Linked DNA regions of Rhinolophus ferrumequinum. The protein of the gene in region 1 purifies or fractionates together with the protein of each later gene. This does not show direct contact. Links are inferred from orthologs where the notes say so. Each region holds a gene or a part of one and is shown on either strand. Other genes may lie near its edges.

Region 1 (9,581 bases):
ACTCCTTTGGTCTCCCCGACGCCGTAGTCTAACAAGGCTGGGAACTCAGTGGGCGCCCCATAAACACGGAACACGGACCGGCTGGCTGAGTCACTCCTGCCGCCTCCTCTTCGTCATCCCCTTTTGCTGTTGTCTCCATCACCTGGCTTCCCGGCCAGCTTGCGGCTTGACCTGCTCACCTGCCCCCTCCAAGTCCACTCTTTGCTTAGGCCTAGCCTGGGTTCTGGCTCCGAGATGGGCCACAGAGACAGTGCCAAAGCCCCAGCAAGGTGGACAAGGCACTGGCCAGGAAATTGCCCACCACAGCATTGAATGACTAGGGACAGGTCACCTAGAACAGGTCTCCGGCCCTCCATTCTCCGAGTGACCAGGGACACCCACCAGACTCTCCAGCAAGGAAAGGCCCGATAGCTTCTCAGATCCCCCAGGTGGGCACTGCCTGGGCTCCTGGGGGCATGAGGCAGCCTGCTCCCTGGAAGGGTTAGCTGAGGGCCATGGGTGGTGGGTGGTGAGGTGTTCTGTCAGATGGGGGCCCTGTGAGGGCTGGGGGGGGCCTCAGGTCTTGGTGATCAGAATTGGGGCGTGTTGGCCTTGGTCCCTACTCCCCAGCGTACGCTGGGCAGGCATGGGCCCGAGGGTCCAGCCTGATGTAGAAAGCCTTGACTTCAGGATATCAGGTCACACAGGAACCTGCAGGATTAGGGTGAGTGTCTAAGGGGCACATTTGAGGGTGATTTCACCAAAGAGGGCACTGGACCATGTATCCGTACGACAATTAGACTAGTAGTCAAAATAAACCCATGTCTTGGTTATGCAACTAGTTGGTGCAAATTCCCAGCAAAGACATTGCACGGTGGCCCTGCCAGCTGGAAGCTGACCCTGAACCCCAACCCTGACTTTTCTGCACAGAATGACTGCTGCTCAGAGATCCTGCGGGAGATCCGACCGGGCTCCAGGGGACTTTGGAGTCTCAGGGCTGGTCCCCAAGACACCTGCTTGGAAGGGGTGGAAGAGGCTCAGCGCCAGTGGGGCGGGGGGTGACTGGAGGTGACTGGAGGGGACCGCGGGGTGCTTGCAGTGCTGGCCACACGCCCTTCGCTGAAGCCACCCCCAGCCGCTGCACACAGCAAGTGCCAGCAGCCCCACGCTTTCGTAAATCTTCTCTTCTATTTGGAGAATTGAACTTGAGCCCCACAGAGTGTCCGGGGGGCTTCCTATCAGCTGGGCTGGGCCCCAAGGCTCTCTGAAAACTTCAGAGAGTGGGGAGCATGAGACCTGCTCACGGGAAGGGTTAATGTCACCCGACTTAACCTCAGGCCAAAGAAAACATGCGGACAGTCCCGACCGCCCTGTGGCCCAGCGGGACCCTGGGTCCTGGGCGGGGAGGGGTGAGTGTGGGTGGGTGATTCTGCAGGCCGGGCAGCTAGGCTCCTCTCACCGCTGGCCTCTGACCCCACAGAATGTGGGGTGGGTATGGTGTGCAGAGGGGTGTTGGCAAAGGGCCACTGAGGAAAGGATAGTGCAGTGTTTCCAGAATGTTCTCAGGCCTGGAGACAGCCCATGGGCCTGAGAGGCAGGGAGGGGGTGACTCAGGTAGGTCTGTCAGCCTCAGTGTCCAGGACCCAGGGTGTGACATGTGCACCTAGAGTGGACTCAGAGCCCCTGTGCGGGTCCTGGGGAGGGGGCTGTGGGCAGGCGGGACTCCCCTCAGTAAAGGGAGAAACTGGAGGGTAGCTGGTGAGCCAGTGGGCTGGGTCAGGCCCACCTGCCCCAGGTAAGCAGGCTTGGCTTGTGTTTCCTGTTCCTGTGGGCTGGCCTCGCCCACCCCTGCACCAGCTCCGCCCACTCCCCACCCCCCTCACCCCCCGTCTTCACCCCTTCACTCTGGGCCCTTCCTTCCCTGAGCCCAGTGCAGCCCCAGGCCCACGTCACAGCCCCTGTGAACCTGGCCTCCCTCCTCTCAGCTCTCACCCCTCAGCCCATGGTCCTGTCCTTCCCCAGGACCCCCACCAGCTCCTCTGAGCTTGTAGGGAGCTCCAAGAGACCCCTTTTCAGCCTCTCATCCACCCCAATGTCCCCAGGCCAGTGGGGCCAGGATTCCCAGAGCAGGCTCCTGCACAGCTCAGACCCCATCCCCCCAAAGCCCCACCCCCCAGGTGCTTGGGTGGTTACTTGTTATAATTTTTTAAATATGGAAACATACACAGAAGTGAAGCACACAGTATCACGATTGTATTCACCACCGGCTCAACAGCGATGGATTCAACAATGACCAATTCAGTGGCCGGTTGGTTTAATCTCCACCCCGACTCTGGGCCCCTCCCTGTGGATTTTTTCAGAGCAATTCCCTCGACATCACATAATGAGTGTGGCTTCTTCAGACAGGGAAGGCAGGATAAACACTTGACAATGTGCCCTTTTCAGCTAGTTTTCAGACTAATGAGCCCCAGTCACTAACAAAGGGCCCATTAGAATTTTTTGGCATGATTATGAATTAATGGGTTTTTAAGATATTTGATATGTTTTAATCTATAATTCTTTTTGATGCACAAATTGTCCTCTTGCTGATCAGCCCCTCCTAAAATTTTTCAGTGGACAGAGCCAGAAAGTAATTTTGTTTCAAGATAAAATAGCTGAGGAGTTTTTGCTCATATTCCCAATTCCAATTTCAGAATTAGTTCCTATTTCTGTGATTTTATATTGGTATCTCTTTTCTCTTGTGCTGACAACCTTAGTTGCTAAAGAATTTAACATGATATATGTACATGTAATTTCAATATAACGTTACTAATATTATTACAAACAGTAATAATATTACTTTTTAATTAATTAATTAAATTAAATTTTTGTAATTAATATTACAAAAGGATTCTTGGGGGTCCTTTTGTCCTTTGAATGTTCGTGATTGTGCTGATAATATGTTACATAGCATAGTTCACCCATTTGAGGGGTGTTCTGGTTGTTTCTAACCTTTTGCTAATATGTAAATAATGTCACAATGAATAACCTTACGTGTATACTGTTTTCAATTTTTCCTCATATCTTTGGGTCAATTCCGACAAGTGGAACTAACTGGCTGGGTCCAATGGTACCTGCGCTTTTGCTGGTAGGACCAGGACGCCCTTCCCACAGGTGACCCTCGAGCACATCTGTTTTCCCAAGGCCTGCCTCACCCATGGAGCTCTCAGTCAAACACCTGGACCTACCCCAGATACTGTGTTTCCCTGAAAATGAGACCCAGCTGGACAATCAGCTCTAACACGTCTTTTGGAGCAAAAATTAATATAAGACTCGGTCCTATTTTACTATAAGTCCGGGTCTTATATAATATAAGACTGGGTCTTACATTAATTTTTGCTCCAAAAGACGCATGAGGGCTGATTGTCCGGCTAGGGCTTATTTTCGGGGAAACACAGTAGGTGAGCAATGGTCCTACAGTATCCTCTCAACGTGCATTTTTCTTGTTGTGTGTGATGTTGGACATCTTTCCCTAAGTGCAAAGGTCAGGATCTCCTTTTCCTATGAGCCATCCCTGCCTTGTGCCCTATAAGGCGGTCTGTCATTTTCTTCTTGGTTTTAGATGTTCTTTATGTATCAGTGTTACTAATCCTTTGCCTGTGATGTAAAATAAACTACAAACGCTGTCAGTTGGTCATTGCCTGTTTTACTTTGCTGATTTCAGCTATTCCCTCTGGATTTCTGACTGTCGGGAACGGATTCCCTACTCCAGTTTGTTGAGGAATTCAGCCCTGCTTTCTTGTAGAGTCAGCATGGCTTCATTTCAATGTTTATACTTAAGCCTGTCATTTGTTCGAAATTTATTCTTGTGCGTTGTGTGGAAGATGGATCAACTGTACCTGTATTTTCTTTCTCTGTGGCTCTCCAGTTGTCCTAATGCTGCCTATTAAAAGTTCATCTTCCTCCTGCTGACTGGGAAGTGGGTGTGTAGACACTGTTCCTTCATGTATGCATTCATCCCGAAAGAACTGCCTGAATGAAAGCCTGCTGTGTGCCTGAGTGTCCCCCTGGGGCCCTGTGGGGGTGGACTCTGCCTCCTTCTGGTTCTCTGCCCATTTGTGTCCTAACCGAAACACCTCCCAGCAAGGTTCCCTAGCTGCAGTGGCCGAGGTTCCCTGGTGCCTGGCACAGGCTGCGACCCACTTCATTCTCTCTGCCTGTACAAACTGCACTCACTGCAGGCACCATCCAAGGTGGGGGGAGTCAGGGAAAAGGGTGGGGGCTGCACTCTGTCCACCGTCAAGAGCTGACTTTCTGCTGGGGGGTACGTTAAATAAATCAGCCCAGGTTGCTCAGTGAAGACCTGGGAAGCGTCTCCCAAGTTATGGGACCCTGACATGGCTGGGGGTGGTTACCCCTCTGCCTAGGACAATGTCTCCAGAGAGTCTGTTTTTGTTCTGTGTGTTATCCCATCCTTCGCCCTGGCGCCCATTTAATGTGCAGTGACCCAAACGCCAGTGCAACGATGGCTGGAGGCAGTATAGGGGATCCACACAAACCACTGACTTCATCACCCACCTCTGCCCCCACCCCCACCCAGGGAAGCACACAGGACGCAGCGGCAGCCCCCTCAGGCCAGGAGGACAAAACACGCATGCCCCTAGGGTGGCACAAATGCCTCCCCTCTAGCTGCCCAGACAGCCGGGCCTGCTCTGCCGGGTCCAGAACCAGGCCTTGCTGTTTCCAGCGGTCCCTGCATCCTCTGCTCTTCTACGGCTCCCACTGGGCGGTCCCTGATTGATGGCTCCCCCTTGCCTCCAGGGTCCGACAACCCTAGTGGACACCGCGGAGACTGCATTCCTTTTCGCCGGCAGCGTGCCCCCCCACCCAGCACCCAGGGGGCGCTCAAAGTGTTCGCGGGGCTAACACTCCATCGTCCAGGTGCCAAGAGGGTCAGTCTGCGCGTGTCCCACTGCGCCCCTCCCTCCTCTTTTCCCTGTCCCCCTCTCTGGGGAGGCACAGAGGGCGTGAAGTGGGTCTCATGCGCCCTATGCAGCCCTACTGCCCGGGCCGCGCGGTTCGCTGTCGCTGCACCTGCGGGCCCCGCGCTTTTCTTTCTGGCTCAGCTGGGTGCTCCGCGCGGGCCAAATCAGGTGGGCACAGGTGGGGCCAAGCAGGTCGGCTTGCGGGCCGAGCACGTGGGCGTAGATGGGGCCGAGCACGTGGGAGAGGGCGCGGCCAAGCCGGTGAATGCGAAAGGGGCGGGCCGCACAGGTGGGTGCAGACGGGGCAGGACCAAGCAGGTGCGCGGTTGGGCTCGGGCTGGGGCTCCCCAAGCTCGCCGGTTGCCCGGGGGCGGGGCTTCTGGCCCTGGGCGGAGCGCGCTGTCCCCGGGGACCGGCCGGCGGCCACCGCCCCCTTCAGGCCCCACCCCCACGCCCGGGCTGGGCAGGCAGCGGCCCCCCGTGGCTGGGGTGGCAGCAGCGGCTGCCCGCACTGCACCTGGGCTCCCGCCTTCGCTGCAGCTCCGGGTGCCGCCTCCCGGCCGGCCCCCGCCAGCCCTGCCTGGCCATGGCCGCGGCCTCATCGCCGCCCCGGGCCGAGAGGAAGCGCTGGGGCTGGGGCCGTCTGCCGGGCGCCCGCAGGGGCAGTGCGGGCCTGGCCAAGAAGTCCCCCTTCTCGCTGGAGCTGGCTGAGGAGCGCCCGGCGGGCGGCGCGCTCTACGCGCCCGCCGCGCCGCCCGCCGCCGACCTTGGCCCGCGGCCGCCCGTGAGCCTCGACCCGCGCGTCTCCATCTACAGCGCGCGCCGCCCGTTGCTCGCGCGCACCCACATCCAGGGCCGCGTCTACAACTTCCTGGAGCGCCCCACCGGCTGGAAGTGCTTCGTCTACCACTTCGCCGTGTGAGTATCGCCTCCGGCGAGGCCGAGCCCCGAGGGGCTTCTTCCGCGGCCGGGGAGGGGGGAGGGAGTAGGGGGAGCGCTGTGTCCCCGCCACCTGCCGCCGCCAGGACTGTATCCAAGCTGGGTGTGACTCGGAGCAGCCGTGAAGGAGGGAAGGAAGGAAGGGGTTAATGGGGAAACCACGCGGAGCCTGTTGCTTGAAGTTCAGGGACTCGGGTCTGACCTGTGAGGGACACCTGTGGCTGCGGTGCCAGGCTTCCCCCGGCCCTGCCCAAGCAGGGTGTGTGTGTGAGGGGGTGGGGGGGAGCCAGCTGGCGAGGAGTGACCAGCCCAGAAGTTGGCTCCACTCCTCCCTGGAGGAGCAGTCCAGGTGTTAATGCTTGGGGGAAAGGATGTGAGCCAGGGGAGCACAACCTTGGGTGCAGGGGAGAGAATTCCCCAGGGTCAGCTGGCACGGGCAACTCAGGGGCCCCAAGAGGAGAAGGCCCCATGCCCTTACTGGACGTCTACACCTGAGACTCTCCCAGGTCCAGGCAGGCCCTGTGGGGAGCGGTCTCCTGGGCCAGTGGGGGAAAGGCTGCCCTGGAGGGTGGCAGGCCTGGTGTGTGCCCGGAGGGGTCAGCATGGCGGTGGCGAGTGCCCACAAGGAGTCAAACTCATGAACACTCGGGCTGAGACAGAGGAGACTGGAGGAGGCTGGTTTCTGGCTGTCCGTCAGAGGAAGCTACGTACCCGGAGAAAGCAGGGCCCTATGGGCAGCACCTGGCTCCTGCTGCTGGTTACCCAGCTGGCTCCAGTCCCCAGAAAGGCTTGCTTGCGTGGGCCAGGGCATGGCGCTCCGATGCTTAGGAACGGGGCAGGAGGACGTTGCCTCCTCAGGGCCGCCCTCCTTGCTGCCTGCCGGGGGCCCGTCCCCCACATCTCGTGGCCCTACTTCCTGGCTGCCTGGCCAGCAGCCTCTTGATATGGTGCCAGCCTGTTCCGTGAACATTCAGTTGGTCATCCCGTCCCCAGGCTGATCTCGGGGCTCCTCTGAGGGCTGCATGGGGTGGTCTCCCTCTGGCTTCCTAGTGGCACTGCCCGTCCCTGCTGCTGTGGCTGGCCTCAGGCTGGGAGAGACCTGGGGGTGATCAGAGCCCTGTTTCTCCACTGGTGCCCCCAGGGCTGCAAGGGGACCCAGGCCCTGCCGGCTCCAAGGCTTGGAGCATCATCTCGGGCAGGTGAGGCGGCCTCAGCTTCCCACCTTTGCTCCTCTAGGAGTGCATGTGGTACCAGGGTTGCTGCCCTCCCTCCTGCGAGGGACCAGCTTCCCTGGCACGAGGGACAGAAACAATGTCCCCAGAAGCCTGGAAGGGCCACGGGTTCAAGCCTCTTCCCCAGCCCTGGCCCAGCCTTCCGAAGCGCCAGAGGGTACCTGAGCCCCATCCGTTGCCGAGGACGGCCCTGCCCACAGCTGCAGCAGCAGGGGCTTGTCTGGGGATGTTCCTGTGCAATGACCTCAAGGGACCCCACCTGAGTCCAATGCTGCTGTGCAAATGCTGCTGTGCAAACACGTGGCCAATGCCAGGCTTGTGGGTGCCGTGGTGCACGTGGGCTGCCTGCCTCCTAGCCCTCACCTGCTGGGCCCCAAACTCCCTGAGATGCCCAGGGGTGGGGCGGACCCCACAGCTGGGTCCTGCCGTAGACCCTGCCAGCTGTCTTTCTGTCCTGCATCTTCCATGCCAGCACAGGCAGTGGGAGGCGTGGGCAGTGGGCTGCCCAGGGGTGCTGCAACGCCCCTACCCCCAGGGGCCTGCCAGGGAAAGGGGCCACCCGGCACCCCACTGGTTCCCATCTGGGGGATGCAGGCTGGCGGGCGAGTGTGGCCCCGGCTCCTGGCCACAGCACTGCCGTGGAGGAAGAGGGCTTGCCGCACCCCAGAGGAAGTCTCTGCTTACACTTGTGTTTTCTTCCTGATTCTGATTGTTTGGCTCTCGGAAGTTTGCTCAGTACAGTGCCTTTGCCCAGCCTCCCAGGAGCTGGCGGGGCAGTGGCTGAGTGGCCCCTCTGTGGGGGGAGCCGGGAATGGGATGCTCCTAAGGTGGCTGTGTGACTTCGGGTCAGCCTTTTGCCACCGTGGACCCTGTCCTGTAAGAGCTGTGCGTGGCCCCGAGGAGTGGATGCCTGCGCAGCTCCCCCGTGTAGGGTGGCAGTGGAGGTAGACCCTGGCCAGGCAGGGCGAGCAGCTTGTCTGGGGTCTGGGCAGGTGCCCCTTCATTCCCAGCCTCTCCAGAACGTCAGCAGAGCCCCAGAACTCTCCCAGGGGACCTGGGCCTTTGATCTGGGGTTGCAGGGGTGGCCTGTGCCTGACCGGTCGGAGCCGTGGAAGGGGATGGACGGTAGCCACTCTGGCCCTGAGGTTTCTCTCAGTCGCGGCCAAGATAGCAGACAGTGCTGTCCTTGGTGGGTCGGGTTGTGAAATATGCCACCCAGGGCCTGGCTGGGTTTCTGGGTGAGAAGGCTGAGCCTGGCCTTGAAGGGCAGGGGCCCCTTTGTGAGTGTGGGGCTTGGAGGTGGGAGCGCAGTCTGGGCAGCCCTGCAGAGCTGGGCACCCTCTCCCAGACGCAGCGAGGGAAGCAAGCCAGGATATCCTGCCCCTCCTCGTCATCGGGGAACCCCTGCCCCATCCTGTGTGCCCCTGGCCTGGCCTGTCTGCCGGGGTCAGGGAGCAGGACGCTGTTGCTCTGGCCACTGCCCCTGCCCACTGGGCTTCCTGCCCCTCCCCCCATCCTCTTCCAAGGCCCTTCACGTCTGCAGCTCCCACCCTAGCTGAGGGCACAGGGCAGGGGAGAGTCCTGGCAGCCCTGCTGATGGGCCTGAGCTGGGATGGGGAGTGGTGGGTGACCAGGTAGGGGTGCCCACACTGGAGAGGGAGCCAGGGTTCCCATAGCAACCGCCTCTGCCGCTGCCCTGCTTTCCTGTGGAGGGCAGGATCAGGGCTGCCCCCAGGGCTCCTCAGCCCTCCTCTGGCTGGTGACGGGTTTCCAGTCATAGGAGCCCCCAGGAACCCCATCCTTCCCACTTCTCCTTCTCCCCCTCTTCTCCCCTCCCTTCCCGCGGCTCTTGGGAGCTGCAGGATGACAGGTGCATACTCTTTTCTCAGCTGCTGCTCCCCCACCCTCCTCCCCATGTAGCCTGGACTCCCCCAGCCAGGCTGCTGCTGTGGCTGTCTGCCCTGGGCGAGCCCCCTCCTCTGTGCCTCAGTTTCCTCCTGCAGCGCACAGTGCCGCCTGTGGTCAGTGTCCATTGTGGTTGGGAGACACTTGGAGACCCGGCTGAGAAGAGGGGTTTGCCAGCGGGTCCCAGGGCTTAGTAGATGGGGCTAGATTCTCAAACTCGGCTTGGTGCCACCTGTCCCCGCCCTCCTGCCACTGCCTTTCCCTGGTTCCCAAGAACTTTCTGGTGGCTTTGGCGGCACCTTCACAGAGGTGTTAATCATTGATGGTGCTGGAAGCTGGCCCTGGCAGTTTGTTGGGCTAAGCCTGCCTTTCCAAAAGTGGAGGCCAGTCCATGGGCCACATGTCTCCACCCGGTGGCTCCCGGTGGTGTGAGGGTCCTGCAGTTCAGCAGACTCTGAAGAGTAGTTGGCTGGGCGGGAGGTGGGGTGGGCTCCCATGGAGAGCGGAGGGGGGTGTGGCGGCTGGATACAGAGGGCAGGCTGTCTGATCTTTTCCTGCCGTG
Region 2 (9,934 bases), on another chromosome or scaffold:
GAAGAAAAGGGCATATTTTAAGCATCACTGTATCCTGCAAAGGCCTGCTACAAAACAGGTATTTATAAACATCTACATAATCATTTGTAAATTACCTTGGTTGTAAAGTATGTCCATTTCGTAATTCCAATACCTTAAATTTGTGTATTTCCTGTTTTCCTAAGAGCAGTATCTGAAGTCAGAGTACCTAGATTTGAAATCTGGTTCTACCAACTTATTACCTATGTACTTTGGCAAATTGCTTCATCTTGCTTTGCCTTGGTGTCCTCATCTGTAAACGGGAGGTGATAATGGTAACTCTGCCTCATAAATTTGTTGTAATGGGTCAATGAGTTAATATGTGTAAAATGCTTTGAATCCTGCCTAGTACCAAGTGAACAAAAATAAATGCTAGCTGGGCCGGCCCGGTGGCTCAGGCGGTTGGAGCTCTGTGCTGCTAACTCCCAAGGCTGCTGGTACGATTCCCACATGAGCCACTGGGCTCTCAACCACAAGGTTGCTGGTTCAACTCCTCGAGTACCGCAAGGGATGGTGGGCAGCGCCCCCTGCAACTAAGATTGAACACGGCACCTTGAGCTGAGCTGCCTCCCAGATGGCTCAGTTGGTTGGAGCGCATCCCCTCAACCACAAGGTTGCTAGTTCAATTCCTTGAGTCCCACAAGGGATGTTGGGCAGCGCCCCCTGCAACTAGCAACGGCAACTGGATCTGGAGCTGAGCTGCACCCTCCACAACTAAGACTGAAAGGACAACAACGTGACTTGGAAAACGTCCTGGAAGTACACACTGTTCCCCAATAAAAGTCCTGTTCCCCTTCCCCAATAAAATCTTAAAAAATAAAAATAAATAAATGCTAGCTAACACTTTTATATAATACTCGTCTTGGTAACTCAACCTCTTTCAGAAGACCCTCCTAAGTTTATAAAAAGTACTGTTATATGTATAGTCTGTCCTTGTTATTCACAAAGTCTGTATTTGCAAATTCACCTACCTGCTAAAATTGATTTTTAACCCCAAAATCAGTACTTGCAGCCATTTTCAGAAGTGCACGGAGTGTCAAAATCCTTGAGGTGATAGACACGTGTATTTCTGGCTGACGACAAACAAGGCTGCCCTCCTGTTTCAGCTCTCGTGCTGAGAGGACAGAGACCCTGCAGTGCAAGAAATTCTGACCCTGGGCCAGTTAGACTGGGTTTGAATCCCAACTCTGGTAACTGGGGTGGCCTCAGGCAAGTCACTTAGCACTTCTGAACCTCACTTTCTCTTTTGAAAAGTAAACAAAATATAATCTACCAGCATGAGCTGTTTTTAGGATTTAAGACTATAATCTGTTATGTATATGTGTGTATCCCCAAAGAGTACTTATTTGCTAAATAGTTGTCCCAGGCAACTATATAAAATATAATTACCTTTTCCCCAAAAATAAGACCTAGCCAGACAATCAGCTCTAATGGTCTTTTGGAGCAAAAATTAATATAAAATCCGGTATTATATTATATTATATATTATACCTGGTCTTATAGTAAAATAAGACCGGGTCTTATATTAATCTTTGCTCCAAAAGACGCATTAGAGTTGATGGTCCCGCTAGGTCTTATTTTCGGAGAAACACGGTACCATGGACAATGAGAACTGTATTTTTTTCTAATTAAAATCCATAAAAAAAAAAATCCATATAATTTCATTCTGTTATGAAAATATTTTCAGAATTTCATAACCATATCTAAAATGAGTAGAAATACCTTTATTTATTTATTTTTTTTTTTAAGGAGGGCGCAGCTCACACTGGCCCATGATGGGATGGAACCGGCAACCTTCGTGTTATTAGCATCAGGCTCTAACCAACTGAGCTAGCCAGCCACCCTTAAAATGAGTAGAAATACCTTTAGATGGGGAAAAAAAAAAAAAGGACAGAAATTCTGGTTATAAATTTAGATTCTCCTGAAAACTCAATTTAACATAGGCCGGTCATTTTCAAGGAACTCAGTAACGAGTATTAACTTAAAAATTTTTATTATAAGATTCCTAATTGCTTTGAAATAAATTTTAGAAACTTAAAGAGCTTTTCTGAATTACAAAATTTTGTGATTCATGTACATAACAAGATAAATATTTACCTACAAAACTTTAAAGTTAATTGTAAAGCTGCTGCAAGTTGGCTGACTTCTTTAAAATAAACATACCATTTCATACGCTTTAATTTTCTCTTGCAAAAAACTGATTTGCAATTTGAAGTCTTCCTTCTTTTTCTGATAATCTTCTAATAGATGGTCTTGTTCTTCTAGCTGCTGCTGATGAGTAAGAATCTGTTGTTTGGCTTGTAGTAAATCTGCAGCTGTGCTACTATGAGAGCTGTTTCTCAGCATTTCACTAGCTTGTAACTTGAAAACAGAAAGAAATCACAAGGTATTAAATTCTGCAGTGACGGCACTAAGGAATAGACATCTTTTGGGGTATTAGTTGGCTCACAAATGCTCTCTGGGAACTGTGCTGAATTTACAGGCTTGAGACCCCATCAAACTACTGCCATGGCTGACCAGATGAGTGTGGGCATGTTACCCAAACTGAACCAATAAGACTATCTTTCCCATGATCAAGCAGAGAAAGTAGTCTAGTGAGAGAGGTAACACTGAGACAGACATACTGAAAGAAATGGGGCCTGAAAGGCAATACTTCCTGGATTCCTGAGGACTTTCCAGTTTCTGATCCCAGTCCATTTCAGAGGCGTGGTGGTATTTCTGCCTTGAATTCTATTAAGATAAGCCTGTATCCTTATATTAAATTCCTCCCTTTTGCTTAAGCTATCTCAATTTATTTTCTGTTACTCCCAATCAGAAACCTTGATTAATACAATTAGACTCTTAGGGCTCTAATTAAAGGTAAATGGACTATATTCAGTCTAGTTACCATTTCAGACTCTAAAATAAAATCATACCAGGGTTGGCAAAGGTAGGATGTGACTACATGTTAATTTCTGCAAATCTACACTCAATCAGACTTATAAGGTTTTGTAGGATTTCAAAATACAAAGAAAGAAACCATGCAAAAAATATGAATTAAAGTCTTGGATAATATAACAAGAGGTATTAACTAGTTTTCCAAACATAATATGAAATAAGCAAATGGTTTTAAACAAATTTAAAATGGTAGTGGAAAGTGTGAAAAAAAATTAATTCCTTTCTAAAAATCTAATAAATTCTACTACTAATACTTACATGCTGAAATTGAATCTGTAATTTTTGACTTTGTTCTGTCAACTCTAAAAATTCTCTCATTGTCTCATCCTTTCTCTTCTTGCTTGTTGTAAATTAGCAGTAAGCTGGGTTATGATGCCATCTCTTTGTTTAATGGCTGCTTCAATTCTTGTAACTAAAAAACACCGATGAATAGTAAGTGCTAAACTTCTATTTTTTAACAAATCAATCATTATTATAGGTAACTGTTCTTCAAAAATATGATATTCACAACTCATTGGCAGAATCATTACAATTTGTAAGCAACCTTATTCACATTTGAAAGCTATTAGCTTGCAGGAATTGGTTTTACTTCCAAATCAACCTTTAAAAAATTATCTGAACTTAGAAACAAAACATATTAGGTCTGACTTATCCATATATCTACTGCTAGAAGGACAGTGCCTTTATATTCAGGGATGCTTCCATCTGTTCCTGGGCAACACCGTCATAGACAAGTTAAATCTCACTCATTTCTGGAGAGGGTAAAAGTGAAATGCGTTTTGTCATCCTCATCGACGTCCTATTTCATCTTGTTTTCATAACTGACTGCGACAAACAACACGTCACTTTAACCACAAGTGGTCACTTATAAGGACTCGCTGACATTTTTAATGAGTTTAAATCATCGTATTTTGATGTGGTTTGCACAATAATTTTCTCGCAGGTTGATTACAAAAACGTCTATTCTACTAAAGTGATTTCAACCTACCTATCCCATAATGTAAAATAAAAGAGTCCACGTTTTATTAGACCTGTTAATGAAATCCTAGTTTTAAAGAACGTGGTTTTGATATACACATAAGGACAAGTATCATCAGCTGACCTTAAGTTACCATTTAAAAACCCCATCTTTAAAGAATGTACGTACACTATCATTCAAATTTCCTATTTTTGTTTTTGTGAGTAACAAGACACATAAGGTAAACATACTTGCTGCAGTCCTTCAGTCCCATAGGTGGCCCTCATTTCTTCCAGTTCTCTGTTTAGTTCTTCAATATCATGCTGTTTGCCAACCAATTCATTTTCCATCATCTCTAGTTGGGTCTGATTGTATTGTGCTCCATGTTCCAAGTAAGAATCATCAACACCAAATTCTTCTTCCTAAATCAATCCAAGATTTTGAATAATTCAGTACAAACAACACTCCGCAGGAAGAATTAGTCAAATATTCAAAGCCAAGTCCACTTTAAAACATCACTCATCACCTGGGAGTTCACTGGTATGGCAAGCTCCATTGTTGTTAATGTGTTATGTACCTCAAGAGCAAAACAAGTTATCTGCAAATTCTGTTACAATTGAGTTTTACAACAAAGGCAGATAATTTTGTTTTGTTAAACCATTAAAGCATTTAAACATCACCCACAGAAAGAAATACATGCAGGAAAAAGCTTTGTTAGTAAGCCAGATGGTTTTAAATAATATAAAACATTAGTATCATAAGTAGTTTTAATACTATACCCTTAATAATTTGTAGGCTTTTCTGCTCCCACCACAAAACTGCAACCATTTACCTGTATAAAAACAATTTCCTGATATATTATGATTTTAAACAGAATTTTATTTAAAGCTAATAATTATATACCAGCTAACTGTATTCATGCCTCTTTTACGCCTAAGGAAAATGTCACATTGGCAGAAACAGATATAGTGTTTATCTAAAAGACATTATGACCATTTCAAATGCCAATCATTCCTCAAACATTTGAGTGCTTACAATCCAAAAGACACTGTAGTATACATTATCTTTAAGTGATCTAAAGTTCTAAGTGTAGTTTCTATTTTGTCTTCAGAAGGATAACTATAAACTTCAAGTTACTGGATCCTCTTCTACAAAATATTGCCTTAAAATCATTTAAATAATTGGTTTTTTTAATTAAGTCCTATTAATTTTAAAGTCAAACTGTTTACTGGTACAAATTAATTGAAGGTTGGCAAGCAGGTCAAGTTGTAGGAGGAGATGAAAAAGTGAGGAACACTCCCTCAAACTTTCACCTGGGGGTAGTACTATTATACGTATCAACCCTGACCAATGTGGACATTTTCTATAATATATTACAGCCGGTCTCTAGCTCAGGCATTTTGTGGAGGAAGAATGACTGATACAATATGTTTGCAGGGTTGACCTGGTGTGAGACTAATTTTAGATCAATTAATCTATTTAACAACCTCCTCTTCCTACCAGCAAGAGTATACAAAGGAACTTCACTCCTCCTCACATGTTAATTATTCACAATTCTATGTTAATAGAATACAAGATAATGATGTTTTTACTGTTGAAATACGTAAGGTAGAGTATCCCAGAATTAGAATTAGATCCATATGGACCACAACACTTTTAAAAATGAAGATCCTAATCAAGAGTTCTTTATCAGAGTTCGATTCCTTTGGGGTTTTTTCCCCTAATTTCTGAAAAACAAAGCTAAAGTAAAAAAACAAAAAACAAAAAAACTTTTCGCCTTTATGGCAACACAATACTGAAATCTGTGAAAGTTATCAGAAAACAGGAGTACTACCTCTATCAGATTATTAATACCGAGTCACTTGCAATAACTTTCAAATTAAATACTCCTAAATTTCAATTAGCTTTTCTTAATTCTGAAATGATGCATTTTAATAAGTGTCTTAAAATTTTACTTTATAGTACAGTGTAACAAATGGATTTTATGTCTTCAAATATAATATTAAGCAATGGATGATATCACTGTAACATAATTAGTTAACTATGATTAATTGTATCTAACACATTATATAGCCAACATTAGCTTAATTTCTCACTAATTTAATCAAATTTTACACTAGACTAACTCACACACATAAACTTAAAATACTACGCAACTGTTTTCAAAACTTAATTATGTTATAATAAATATAAAAATCTTGTCAATATTAATAAATTTTAAAGATTCAATATCATGTAAATAAGTAATAAATGATTATTCACCAGAACTAAACTAAAACAAACCATATTTCAAAGTTAGAATAAAAACACGCATAATCAACACAATATTAGGACCATTAATATTTAGCAATAAATTATTCTATTTTTTAATGCAATAATGATTTTACTGATACCTAAGGGTAAAGCATTTATCTCTTATTTTTGCATTATTAGCTTTCTAACACTATACTTGGTAACCATAATGTGAAAGAAAATTAGTAACTTGAAACATGTAAAATTAGATTAATAGATTCCATTAACTGCAAAGAAGATCAACTTCTCTTAATGTTCTTTTTTACTGTGGCACTTGTCCACAGTTATTAACCTTTAGTCTATTCCCATATATTTTCTGAATTCACAGATTTACTTAATCTGTATAGACAACTTCAAGATTTGGGAAAGTACAAGTGAGGTACATTTTAATTTTAAAATGTTCTGCAGAGGTTAAGTATCATCTCGTAAAAATACTATACTACTATTCAGAAGGAATCAAAGGAATAATTTTTATTTTAAAACTATAAAATGGCCTTCACATAAAACTTTTCCTTTCAGTGAACACTAATTTAAAACCTAACTCACTCAACTCTTTATTTATGATTAATATCTTATCCTTATACTTAATTTGGTACTGCAAACATTAAGAAACAACAATGGATGTTTTAATAAAAAATAGGAAGGATATGATGGGTCATAAAAGTTCATAAAAATTACAGGAGTTCAAGTCCTAGCTGACTCATGGAATTGGAGCCAAGTAACTAATGAAGTTAAGATCATACATTTAAAGTCAAAGTTGAATATCAATTACCACTCTATATATCATAAATATACACAACATTTTTAATTGCCAATTATATCTCAACAAAGCTGAGGCAGAAAAGAAAATCAGATGAAGTAAAACAAAACAAACAAAATAACAAGTGAAAGTTGAAAAGCTAAGTTTGCATTACTTTATGGCTTTAGACTGTCTCTAACTCCAGCCAGTAATTACATAAATGTCATATATCATACAAGCACCTTTGTTAGGAAATATTAAATAATCAGATGACATCCGTAATGAAATTGTACGCCCTAACATTTCAGCTGTCTATACATAGCAAACCATATTCATTTATTTAACTGTCTTGTCTCTATGATGCCTGAAGCACTCCCCACTTTCTACAAATAACTGATCAATGGGTATCAATAAAAATATTTCATGTAGGGGCGGCCGGTTGGCTCAATGGTTAGAGCCCAGTGCTCATAACACCAAGGTCGCTGGTTCGATTCCCACATGGCCCAGTGAACTGAGCCCTCCACAACCTGACTGAAAACAACTTGACCTGGAGCTGAGCTGCACCCTCCACAACTAGACTGAAAACAATGACTTCACATGGAGCTGATGGGTCCTGGAAAAACACACTGTTCCCCAATTAAAAATTTTTTCTAAAAATTCATGTAAATATGGCATTCTGGATATGAAATGTCCTTTCATCAAGGACTCAACAGATCATGTATAATGTAAATTAATTCATAAAACAGTACCTTTTAATTTAATCTGATTTCCCTAATATACACGTGTAATTGGATATATGAGTATATTTATACAGAACAGATCAAAGGTAGGTCATAGGATAAAATTATCTCATTTTTCCCTAGGCCTGAGTACATTTTTCAATCCAAAAAGTATACTAGCCACAGAAGTCAAGAATATTAAGCACACACCATATTTATATATGTAAATTTCTAAACTGAGTTCTAACTAAACATATAATCAGAATCTGAAATCCTTCTGAGAATGTGTTAAAAGAATTCTTATCACTCACTTGTTTCATATACACTTTAGTGTGAAAAGCATATTTCTACTGAAAAGAGTAAAAACAACAAAAAAAGAGGCTTTGCTAATTATTTTTTATATACCAAACACCATACTAGATACTATCAAATAACCCTCATACCTACCCTGTAAGGTAGTATTAGTACTCCCATTTTACAGGAAAGGAAACTGTTTCAGAATTTAAGTGATTTAAGTGCCCAAATTCAGCTCAGAGGTGATGAAGCTGCGATTTGAACACAGGTCTTTCTGGATCCAAAGCCCCTACTCTTTTCTATCACCTTATTTCCCTAAATAAGTCCCAGAAAAATGACAGTGATATTTAGGCAAAATACAAGATACGTATGTAGCCTATGATTAAAACTATGTAATTTTTAAATTGTAAAATATTCAAATGCAAACCAGATATGCAAATACAAAATTTACATAAATGCAAAATTAATAAACTGCAAATCTGGCATTTTGTGGTGAACTTATAAAATACAGTATGTGTTGCCTAGAAAGGAATTTCATTTTGGGGGGATGTTACTGAAAGATAATTCCTTAAGAATTACAATATGACAAGTATTATAGTCTGAGATTTATTCCTTGGTTTACACATTTGATCTACTGATGATTCTTCTGCCTCCTGAAAAGGTGAACATAGCTGAGAAGTCCCCTATATGTAACTATACAAATATACAAAATTAAACACATATATGTAAAATACATTTCTTATAGTTGAACCACAGTCTGTATGTACTAACTTTTATTTATAGGACTTATATTTAAATACTATGTGTACCTTACTTTGAAACACATCGTATTTAAGTAGGTATCACAGATATATAGTTGCAATGTATTTTTCTGGACCTCATAATTCCCACCAGCTTTTTAAATTAAAAAATTTAGGTGAAAAGTATCTTATTATAACAGAATCGCCAATATTATTACTTCATATTTGCATAAAGAGAACATGAAAATTCAGTTTTTTGATGTCTTTAGCTTTCAAATCGTAATGAAAATTAAATTTTAGTCTTTTATCTCAAAGTGAGCAAATGGCTATGAAATTTTAACCAGATTTCATAGGCGTGTATGAGATGGTCTGACCTGTAGCCATCTGGCTTATAAAAAGTTCACTTTGGGGTAAAGGAAAAAATGCACTGTGGGGTACCCCAAACACACAGCTAGTTCAAGCACTTGAAACTTCCAATCAAGAAAGACAAGCTTTAAGAATTGAGGCATTGTATAGAAACAAAAAAGCAGTGTTTTCATTATAAACCACACATTTCAAATCACAAGGGCAGATTCTATGAACTGCACGCTGTAATTTTTAAATTGAGATACTTCCCATAGAGGCAACTTTAGGGAGCCTAAATCGGGCACCTATTTATTTATTTGTTTGTTTTTTACTGTTTCCCCAAAAATAAGACCTAGCCGGACAATCAGCTCTAATGCGTCTTTTGGAGCAAAAATTAATATAAGACCTGGTCTTATTTTACTGTAAGACCGGGTATAACATGATATGATATGATATAATATAATATAATATAATATAATATAATATAATATAATAACAGGTCTTCTATTAATTTTTGCTCCAAAAGATGCATTAGAGCTGATTGTCCGGCTAGGTCTTATTTTCGGGAAAACACAGTATTTATTTCCCTGTCCAGATTACTCATAAGTATATTCCCAGCTTTTAAACACATTAAATTTTTGAATTGTTCAAGTTTTTACTCCCATTAGTTATCCAAAACAGAAATTTAAGAACATGAAGTTTTCTTTTTCTATTAGAAACCTACAATACATCAAAACTTATGGAAAACAGAGTTACTGAATCATTCAGAGTAACAAATAGTTTTCCACATCCTCAAATTTGGACCAAAGAAGTAACAATCATATCTATGATAATAAGGAAACGATAACAAAAGAACATATTTGCTAAAGTGGCCAATGCCTACATTAGCTTT

The links.
Region 2: the proteins of KCNQ1 (region 1) and AKAP9 purify together in Homo sapiens (affinity purification with western blotting; 3 studies listed by BioGRID and IntAct, with this or other methods). This does not show direct contact. The link is inferred for Rhinolophus ferrumequinum from reciprocal best matches to the Homo sapiens genes KCNQ1 and AKAP9.

What each region holds. Positions count from the first base shown.
Region 1 is NC_046294.1:1,617,358-1,626,938, forward strand, and holds the start of KCNQ1 (potassium voltage-gated channel subfamily KQT member 1), read left to right. Parts: upstream 1-5,411; 5' UTR 5,412-5,529; coding exon 5,530-5,861; intron 5,862-9,581. UniProt on the Homo sapiens protein: Pore-forming subunit of the voltage-gated potassium (Kv) channel involved in the regulation of cardiomyocyte excitability and important in normal development and functions of myocardium, inner ear, stomach and colon.
Region 2 is NC_046303.1:34,136,562-34,146,495, forward strand, and holds the start of AKAP9 (A-kinase anchor protein 9), read right to left. Parts: upstream 4,298-9,934; 5' UTR 4,165-4,297; intron 3,368-4,164; 5' UTR 3,274-3,367; coding exon 3,214-3,273; intron 2,380-3,213; coding exon 2,182-2,379; intron 1-2,181. Other genes in the region: A-kinase anchor protein 9, read right to left, coding at 4,695-4,745. UniProt on the Homo sapiens protein: Scaffolding protein that assembles several protein kinases and phosphatases on the centrosome and Golgi apparatus. Required to maintain the integrity of the Golgi apparatus. Required for microtubule nucleation at the cis-side of the Golgi apparatus.